Alligator mississippiensis: one gene and its partner. The protein of the gene in region 2 binds, or shares a complex with, the protein of the main gene of each other region. Links are inferred from orthologs where the notes say so. Each region holds a gene or a part of one and is shown on either strand. Other genes may lie near its edges.

Evidence for each region. Proteins that work in one complex are often made in the same cells at the same time.
Region 1: the proteins of PIGT (region 2) and PIGS are in contact, whole or in part, in a cryo-EM structure (PDB 8IMY), measured with the Homo sapiens proteins. The link is inferred for Alligator mississippiensis from reciprocal best matches to the Homo sapiens genes PIGT and PIGS. Residues at the interface, in NP_057021.2 of Homo sapiens: Pro26, Arg27, Val63, Ser64, His65, Tyr66, Arg67, Lys71, Gln75, Lys79, Tyr80, Val133, Gly136, Lys191, Leu193, Pro194, Cys195, Ser196, Lys198, Ala199, Glu270, Pro271, Pro273, Leu274, Tyr526, Ile529, Cys530, Cys533, Val536, Ala537; in NP_149975.1 of Homo sapiens: Thr9, Glu12, Val13, Gly16, Ala19, Ala20, Phe23, Thr230, Pro238, Lys239, Tyr244, Ile247, Glu248, Val251, Gln256, Val270, Asp271, Ser272, Gln273, Ile274, Tyr276, Tyr277, Met279, Ser309, Arg310, Ser313, Ser314, Ala315, Ala316, Phe513.

Annotation. Positions count from the first base shown.
Region 1 is NC_081837.1:1,026,630-1,031,160, forward strand, and holds the start of PIGS (GPI transamidase component PIG-S), read right to left. Parts: upstream 2,644-4,531; 5' UTR 2,556-2,643; coding exon 2,537-2,555; intron 2,142-2,536; coding exon 2,002-2,141; intron 1,890-2,001; coding exon 1,778-1,889; intron 1,445-1,777; coding exon 1,355-1,444; intron 1,044-1,354; coding exon 952-1,043; intron 452-951; coding exon 241-451; intron 1-240. Other genes in the region: ALDOC (fructose-bisphosphate aldolase C), read right to left, coding at 4,156-4,251, 4,485-4,531. UniProt on the Homo sapiens protein: Component of the glycosylphosphatidylinositol-anchor (GPI-anchor) transamidase (GPI-T) complex that catalyzes the formation of the linkage between a proprotein and a GPI-anchor and participates in GPI anchored protein biosynthesis.
Region 2 is NC_081832.1:7,987,959-7,992,489, reverse strand, and holds the start of PIGT (GPI transamidase component PIG-T), read right to left. Parts: upstream 3,039-4,531; 5' UTR 3,019-3,038; coding exon 2,829-3,018; intron 2,684-2,828; coding exon 2,506-2,683; intron 1,851-2,505; coding exon 1,723-1,850; intron 990-1,722; coding exon 889-989; intron 628-888; coding exon 541-627; intron 84-540; coding exon 1-83. UniProt on the Homo sapiens protein: Component of the glycosylphosphatidylinositol-anchor (GPI-anchor) transamidase (GPI-T) complex that catalyzes the formation of the linkage between a proprotein and a GPI-anchor and participates in GPI anchored protein biosynthesis.

The sequences.
Region 1 (4,531 bases), on a different chromosome or scaffold from region 2:
AAAGTGCCACCCTGTGCAAACCCTGAGCTGCAGCTCACCCAGTACCAAGAGGGGTAACATTTGGGCCTCAACAACTGCCCTGTGCCACAGGCAAAGACGACAGTACCGTCAGTACCACAGCCCCCGTGGGGGAGGGAATAGCCGGGCAAGCTTGGCACAGGATTCCCATGGGTGAGCAGTGCCCTGACTGCATGGGAAGGCATCATCCCACCCGGCCAGGCAGGCAGGCACAGCCCCTACCCAGGCTGGACTTGAAGGGGCGCCGGGTGTCTAAGCCGAGGTTGCCCAGGGGCACACGGTCCGACAGAGCAGCAGCGATGGAGTCGGGGGTGAAGGACATGGTCTGTGCGATATGCCGCACCCGGGCATTCACCGCAGTCAGGACATCCCCCGCGGCTGGTGGGCCCCTCACCACGGCGCTGCGGTGCTTCCCGATGTACACGCTGACCCCCTGCAGACAAGACCGGGCAGGGCAGCGAGAGCCAGACGTGGCAGAACGTGCCCACTCCACCCATTCCAGGGCAAGGCCCAGCCCATGGGGACGCCAGGATGACGGGGCTGGGAGAGCTGCAGGGACCCCTGCCCCAGCCCCTCAGGCTTGTCCCTGGGACAGGGATGGGGACAGAGCCTGTCCCGACAGTGAACAGCCAGGAGGGAAGGGGCAGAGAAACCCGTGAGGCAGACGAACAGCGTCCCTGCCTGCAGCAGTCGGGGAGGTCTTGCAGCTGCACCTAACCCAGGCTCGGCTGCTTCCCACGCCGCAGCCACCCTTGGGCAGGGTCAGAAGCAAGGGGATCTCGCTGGACAAGCTCCCACCCACTGCAGTCACGCCAGGGGCACCCACGAGCTGCTCCGGGGAGGGCAGCCCGTGATGGGACGCCAGGCACAGAGGGTCGGTCCCGAGCAAGATGGGCAGCTGGATGGCACTCCCAGCAGCAGGAGAGGCTGTACCTGTGGCAGGAGAGACGAGGCCTCTGGGATGATGTAGATGGTCAGTGAGCCCAGCGAGCCGCCCTGCAGTGGCAGCAGTGCCGCATCGGCCTCTGGAGAAGACGAGGACATCGGTCACCCCGGTGCTGGTGAACCCAAGGCAGGGCATCCCCACCACCAGCTCTTACAGACAGAGACCTCCGCACTGCCCCCACCCCAGGGTCCCAGCTTCTCCCCTCCCTGGGGCCGCCCAGCCCTGCCCGGCCCCTGCAGGTGGGGGAGAGGGAAGGGTAGCGTGCATCCCCCAGGGCCCTGGGGTAAGAGCTGCATCCCTCCGCATACAGCAACTTCCCAGGCTGCCCCACTCGCCCCCAGGGCACAGCCAGCCACCAGGACCATGCCCTGGGCTGCCCCGTCCCCACACCTTGCACTGTGCCCAGGGCCAAGGCTGCCTCCTCCTGGCCCGTGGCGCTCCGGTAAGCGGTCTCATAGCGGGCGGCGACGCTGGTCCTCACTGCGGGGAAGGGAGAGCGCGAGTGAGGCCACTGGACCCAGCCACGGGCTCCCCGGCCTCACCCCCACGCTGCGAGCCCTGCTGGCCAACAGTGCCAGCCCCGCTCCTGGAGATGCCCCCGCGTGCGCGGCTCCGCGCGGCCTGGCTGCGAGGATCCCCCAGGCTGGGGGTGGCCAGGAGAGCGGCGGTCGGTCAGGAGTCCCTGCCCTCTCCCCCCAGCGCCTGCTCTCACCAGGGCTGCAGCGAGACCCGCTCCAGCCTTGGCACAGAGGCACGAAGCGCCCCCGAGCACGGCAGCAGAAAGCACCCGGTCGCTGGAAACCCAGGGCTTACGGTTCAGCGGGGTCTCCTCCTCCCGCGTGTCGGCGAAGGGCAGCCGCCTCTGCTGGGCCGCGGGCAGGGAGCCCTTGGCGAAGACCACGGCGATGGGCACGGTCAGCTGGAACTGCGCAGAAGGCCGTTACCCGGGTCCGCCCGCGCCGGCGCCCCCGTGTCCCCCCGGCCCCAGGGGCGAGGACCCGCCGCCCCTGCCACAGCCGCGAGCGCCCGGCCCTCACCGCCAGCACGTCCAGCCGGGCGATGTGCGCGTCGGGCAGCGAGGCGCGGTAGGTCTCCGTCGTCTTCCACCACAGCGGCAGCCCCAGCAGCACCGCGATGGCCGCGAAGCACAGCGCCGCCCGCTTCCCGCGTGCCTTCTCTGGGGGCGCAGGGACGGGGTGAGGGGCGCTGCCGCCAGCACCCCCCACCCCGGACACGGGGGCTCCCCCAGCTGGGGGGGGATGGGACATACACCTGGGGGCTCCCCCAATTTAGGGGGGTGACAGCATGGACACAGGGGGGCTCCCCCAGATTTAGGGGCGGGGGGTGACAGCCTGGACACCTGGGTTCTCCCCCAGATTTAGGGGGGTTGATAGCCTGGACACAGGGGGGCTCCCCCAGATTTAGGGGAGGGGGGTGACAGACTGGACACCTGGGTTCTCCCCCAGACTTGGGGGGTGGGGACCCAGACACCGGGGCTCTCCCCCACATTTTGGGGGCGAGCCCAGGCCCCGGGAGCAGCACCGGCCGCCCCGCCCCCTCCCGGCTCCGCACCTGTCTCGTCCGCCGCCATCTTGCTTCCGGGCCGCGGAGCGCGTGGGAGGCGGGGCCTGCGTAGAAGCCAGCCACTCCGAGCCCGGTCGTACCGCGGACTGCCAATTGACGCAGACCGGGAAGCGGGGGCTTCAGGGGCCCGGGCAGAGTGACAGCGCTCTACGCCAATCAGCGCTGGGGGGCGGGGCAGGGCCGGATACGGCAGCCTGGAAGGGACATGACGTGCCTAGGGCTGCTTCGCCCGCGGGCTCGTGGGATTTCAGGTGCGCCTGCGCACAGCCGGAGGCACGTGGCGGGGCCTGGACGGCACGTGGCTTGGGGGGGGGGGGGCGCCCCCTGCAGACCAAAAGGAGCTGCGAGCCCCTCCCCCCCGGGCAGCTGTGCCCCCCTGTTCTGGGGCAGTAGTGTCCCCCTCCCAGACAGCAATGGGGCAGCGGTTCCTCCTCTATGGCCCTGCCCCAGGGTGGCAATGCCCCCCACCCCCCGGCCCTGCCTCTGCCTCTGCCCTGGGAGGCGGGTGCCCCCCCACATTCCCAGCGATGCCCCCACCCTGCGCAGCACTGGGGCAGGACAGGCGCTTGAGGGGGTCCCAGCACCCCCACGCACGCAGGGGAGGCAGCGCAGCCTGTCCCACCCCGCGCCACAGGTGGGCACAAGGGGCTGCACCCCTGGAGACCCCCCAGCCCCGGGGGAGCCCTCGCCCGGCGGCAGGACTGGGCCCGGTGATGGCAGCACCCGAAACCGTGACGCAGGAGTCTCCCGAGCTGTCCTGACACACATGTCCTTGATGCCACGTGAAGGGCAGTCGGAGGCAGCTCCGGAGCCGTGATTCAGCGGCTGGGCCCAGGCGCTCCGTCCCTCCCTCCCTCCCTGCCTGCCTGCCTGCCGGGGGAGGCTGCAAGCCGGCGGCTCGGCTCCCTGCCAGCCGGGTGCCACAGGCCGGCCAGGCCCCTGCAGCCAGGACCACCCCTGCAGCCCCGGCGCCCCATGGTCCCTCGGGCTCGGAGAGGGGCCCTGGCCAGGTGCCCCCGCGCCGCTCTCCTCCCCCACCGTGCCCCCCCCTGGCCCCCGCACAGACACAGCAGACGGCGTCACTCTCTACAGTTTATTCGTTAGACTATTTGGTACATCGGGTGCACACGGAGAACACAACACACGCGGCAGTAAGTGGCTCCCGCGGGCCGGCTCGCCTGCCACGGGGCAGGGAGCACGTGCCAGCGACAGCGACGGCGTCACAAGGTGCACTCTTGCTCATGGGGGGCAGCGCTGCCCTTGCCCCAAAGCGGGGAGGTCCCCCCTGCCCCGCCGGGCTCGCTCCCCTCCCACCACCTCACCCAGGGGGAAGCGGGGAGGAAGCCCCAGGCGACGCCCCAGCGAGTGCAGCCGCCCCAGCCCCCCACCCACGCTAGGGCATCGGGCACGGGCAAAGCACGAGAGGGGTCTGCGCTTCCAAGCAAGATGAGCTCCTGTTCCCCCTCTCCACGCCGCCTCTCTCGGGCATTGGCGGTTGGGCGCGGAGCGGCTACGTGGCTCCTTTGGCGGCTACGGACGAAAGCTGGGTGCAGTGGTGGCGGACACAGAAGGTAGCAGAAGGGGTCGGCGGGCTGGCGCCGGCCGGCTCAGTAGGCATGGTTAGCCACGTACAGGGACTGCCCCGCGGCGCCCGAGTCCTCTCCGCTGCCCTCGTACTTGCCCAGAGCTGCCAGGCCATTCACCTAGGATGCCGGAGAGACCCATCAGTCCACGCCGGGCACAAGCCCAAGCCCCCGACAAGGAGCGCAGACCACCAAGCCCTGCCCGCGACGGGCACTGCTCATGTTAGCATGCAGCCCCAGCCCAACGCACCAGTCCCACCCCCACGTCGCCGGCCACGGGCTCGTGGAAGCGCCAGGCCGCCCGCGGCCCAGGCAGGGAGCAGGGGGTTGCCCACCCCGACCCCACTCCTCACCTCGGCGCGTTTCATGAACTCCTCGGTGGCCATGTTCTCGTTGTCCC
Region 2 (4,531 bases):
TTTCCTTGGCCACTGGAGAAGGTGTCGAAGACCACAGTGAGAGTTTGTCGGAGCTCCCAGGAAATGCTGAGGCATGAAACATCCTGGAGAAGATGACAGGATATACAAAAGATTATTCAATACAAACTTACTTTCCCAAAGGGCAAGATGCATTGTGACGGGCCATGAGACACATTTTAGAGTCCCAAGGGGACTAATTATGGAGTGGAGCATGGCAACACAAAGGCTGGAGATGGAGAGAATCCCATCTAGCCCATTCCCCAGGGAACAAGATAGAGTGGTTCCCTAGAATGCATCTTCCAGGGCTTTGTCTGGCACAGGTTCTAGTATCGCAAGAAATGAGGCTTCCTCCATTTTCTCCTGGAAACTGCTCTGAACACTACTAGAGCTCTATATTTGGAAACAACCCCAATATTTGAGCTATATGCTTCATTCCAAAAGCACTGAGATCTTATTCAGCTACTGCAAGATGCCTCCTAACTGCATTCTTGGAGGCACATAAGAAAGTTGCGGGTAGATCAAATTCAGGCCCAGACTCACCCTGCAGATGGGGCGGATATGCACTGCCTGTGAGTGGTAGCTGCTATGGAACAAGCGTTCAGCCTTCAGCAACACAGCAAGACCAGCCTGCAGAACGTAAAGGAGAAAATGCTATTAAATATCAAGCAGCAATCTGCAAAGGGGCTGGGGAATGTGTCCGAAAGGCTTGAAAGGACCTACTGAGGGCTTCAAAGCGCCAAATTTCCTGTCCCCCTGCTCCTACTGCAATAGAAGCATGACACCAGTGGATACTACAGGCATCTGGTACCATTTGCTGTTTAAGAACTTAGGCCCAAGCTCCTGGCGATGACTTGGTCAGGTAGCACAAAGCCTGGGCTGTGCCCTCACCTTTGAGCTGCATGGCAGCAGCTTCTTCCAAGGAGTGAGGTTCTCGGTGCAGACGACCTCACGGGGCAGGACAGCATATCTCAGGAGGTGGTGATCTGTGACTGAGATGGGAAGTGGAGGTTAAGCAGCCTGGGGCTAGTATGATCACGTGTGCTAAAGTAGAGCTACTCTGTCATCTGGCTGATCATGCTTAGGAAAGATCTAGAATTCCTTGAAGGGATGAGATCACTTTCAGCATGGATCCTGAGGACCAGCTAAGTGCCCCTCTGCAAGATAGTCCTCTCCACATTGAATAAACAAGGAAGTCTCCTGTCTTCAGTTGCAACTGTCTGTAATCCTTGTGCAGAAGGAAATGGGTCCTGTATGACAGGGCTTCTTGCACAATATCTTATGCTAAGGAGAGTACCTTGAGTTCACTGGTTCAAATCTAGCCCTAGTTAGTGGGGACTGGAAATAGCTTCCAGCTGCCCAGGAACCTGAAAAAAGTTTGGGGCTTCAGTCCCATTCTGACAGTAATGTAGCTCCCTGCATGCTTGTCACTGCCACAGCTGGAACTAACTGACCTTGTTCTCAGCACAGGCAGACCTCCCCCTAGAAGTGGTCTTTCCAGAGATGAATTGAGGCAAAACTAGCATCACTGATGCCCTTGCTGTTCCTGTCTACTAGATCTCAGCCATTCTAAGTTCACTTGCCAGAACAGTGTTTTGGTTGTCAGCATCCTCACTCCTCCCAGGACCTTGCTCTATGCCACCCATAGCAAAGCAAGCAATGCCTGGAGCTCCCCACACAGGGTAAAGCCGCCGCCACCCCTGCATAAGCACAAGTCTGCCTCACCATTGGCTAGGCCCAGAGGTTTGAATGATGCTGTTGGAGTGACTGTGTTGGTGGAGTCAATGAAGTTCAGGGAGGCACAGAATATCCCCGAGAGCATGTTGCTGAGCTCTTTCCAGGACTTGTCAACACTGAACAAGAAAGCCACAGATTACACCACTGGCCCTCTTCCCCAGATGTAAAGGGTCTGTGGGAAGTGAAGTTTCACATCAGGTGCTTGGAAAATGAACAGACCATTGCAAGGAGAAAAATGTCAAGATATGCACAGGTATTGCAACTAGAACTATCATCAGGCAGCTATTGAGCAAAGGCAAGGCCCCGGTAGCAGGGAGCACAGTCAGGTTCCTTGGATCTCGAGTGTATTTTAACAAACCACTTCCTCTCCTTGTATTGGCAGGACCTTAATGGTGTCCTTGTGCCCCCGCTTTACCTTTGGCAAATTAAAGTGTATTTTGGATGCTTTGGCCACTTGCGCCTGTAGCTGGGGGGAGGCTGGTTCTTAAGAGCAGGTGGAACAAACCCTTGCTTAGGGCGGTCTAGGCAAGGTGCTCCTGCCTGGAGCAGTGGCTGGGTTAGACAACCACCCGAGGTCCCTTCCAGCCCTGCTTTTCTGTGCTTCTAGATTCCCATGCAGTGAGCCTGCGCGTCCACTGCTACGCTGCAAGCAGCACCCGAGCCACCTGGTTCAAAGCCAGACCGAGTCCGTTTGTGCGGGCTGCTGTCTGAGGTGTGATAGCTGCACCCCCACTCAACTGGGAGAGAGGACCCAGGCTAGGAGAGACTTACTCGGTGACCGAGTCCTGGAACCAGACCCATAGCTCAGCTCCAGCCGGGGCCTGCAGGTGAGGCTGTCCCCAGGTCCGCGTGCGCCAGAAACCTTGGGTGAGGGACAGGTGCAGCTCGCGCACAGAGTACTTGGAGATGAGCTGCCCCAGGGCCTTGGGGAAGAGCCTGTAGTGAGAGACTGGGGAGGGCCAAGGTTGCACACCTGTGGGCACAGCTAAGCCAGCAGGCCCCGCCCCTTCCACTCACCTTCCTCGGCCAGGCCCCGCCCCTTCCATTCACCCTTCCTAAGCCAGGCCCCGCCCCCCGCTCCAGGCTCTGCCCACCTCCCTCCCGCTGCAGCTCCGAGTCCCAGCGGGTCTGGAACTGGAAGGTAGCGGCGAGGTCTCCGGACGGCAGCGGGCTGAGCAGCAGCTCCTCCCGCAGGCTGTCCTGGGGCGGCTCCAACGCCGCCTGCCCGGAGCCGCCGCGGGCCCCCAGCAGGAGCAAGAGCCCCAGCACCGCGGCCCGCTCCATTCCCGGGGCTTCCGCTTCCGACTCGCTCGCTCGCCCAATGGCGAGGTACTTCCGGCGCCGACCATAGAGATGCGCCGGTCTGGGCGCGGGTGAGGGCGGGGCGGTCCTCCGCGCTCTCCTACCCTGTCCGGCGGCTGCTAGTCGCAGCAGTCCTCGTTGCCCTGGGACGTGTCCGCACGCGCGAGCTCCGCGCCAAGCTGCACTGCGCTGGCGTAACAAGAGGCCTCGTCCAAGGCTGGTTTCTCAGACCCCTACTACGTTACCTATAGTGCACAATTCACTGGTCAGTCACGCAATAAATGTAGACTGGCCAGAAGTGCCAGGTAATTGTCACGCGCTAACAATGACTCTCCAGCTATAACAAAAAAGCCGACCAGCTCGAAAGTTAGGGCTTGAAGGCAGGTCACAACTCCGGAGGTGGTTTCTATGCAGCTTTAATCTGAGCGTGTAGCAGGGCCCTCAGGCCCCCTGTACACATTACATGTATTACACGTTGTGGCTGCTGTTGCTGCATTTGTAGGGTTACCATACATCTGGGTTTCCCAGACACGTGCTCTTTTTGGGTCCTCCGACTTCCGTCTGGGCATTTTTCTGAACTCTGAACAAACGTCTGGGATTTTGCTCTGCTCTGTTGGTGGGAGCAAGGGAAGGGTGATTGGAGGGAGTGGGGCATAATGAGCATCTGAGCGTGCATGCGCACATGGCTAGCGTGCAACCAGGCAGGGCAGAGGGACCAGGCTCGGCAGCTGGATGCAGGTAAGTGTATGGGGAGCAGGGTTGGAGGGATGGGGTTTGGGGACAGTCGGGTGTGAGGGATACCAGCAAGGATGTGGGGCTGTGGGTCGGGAGCGAGGGGCAACAGCATGGCTGGAGGGGTGGGGAACTGTGGGTCAGGAATGAGGGTCACTGGCAGGTCCAGGGATTGCAGGTTGGGACTAAGGGTGACCAGCATAGTTGGGGGGTGAGGGGCTGTCTGTTGGGATTGAGGGGTTCCAGCAGGGGCGGGGGGGCTGCTGGGTGGGAGCGAGGGGTGGTGGCCAAGGCCAGGAGGCTCTGGGTTGGGACTGAGGTGTCCACCTGACAGGTGTCTTTTTCTTTTTGAACTGGAAATATGGTAACCCTATGCACTTGCTAATGAGAGCTAGAATCAGGGGCAGGCTAATAATCCATGGGGGATGGCACTGGCACACATTTGGGATCACTTGTTCCTGTGGACTCAGCGCTAGGTCAGGTCTGTTCTTAGTCTGAGACTATGGTACCTGCAATGGGAAAAATTCAGAGCACCACAAGGCCCCTCAGTATTACCACCAGCATTGTTTCAATGGGGTGTTGATTTGCCCCATCACTTGTTGTGGATGGCTAAGGAGATTGTTCTGTCCGTCTTCTGACTGGGCAGGAGTCTGGGCTGGGAACTGGGTCTGAATTGCTTCAGGGTCTGAAATGTGAGCTTATCTCCTAGGGAGGTTTGCCTTTGCAGACTGGCAATGTGCACTTCGCCCCTGCCTCACTTGGC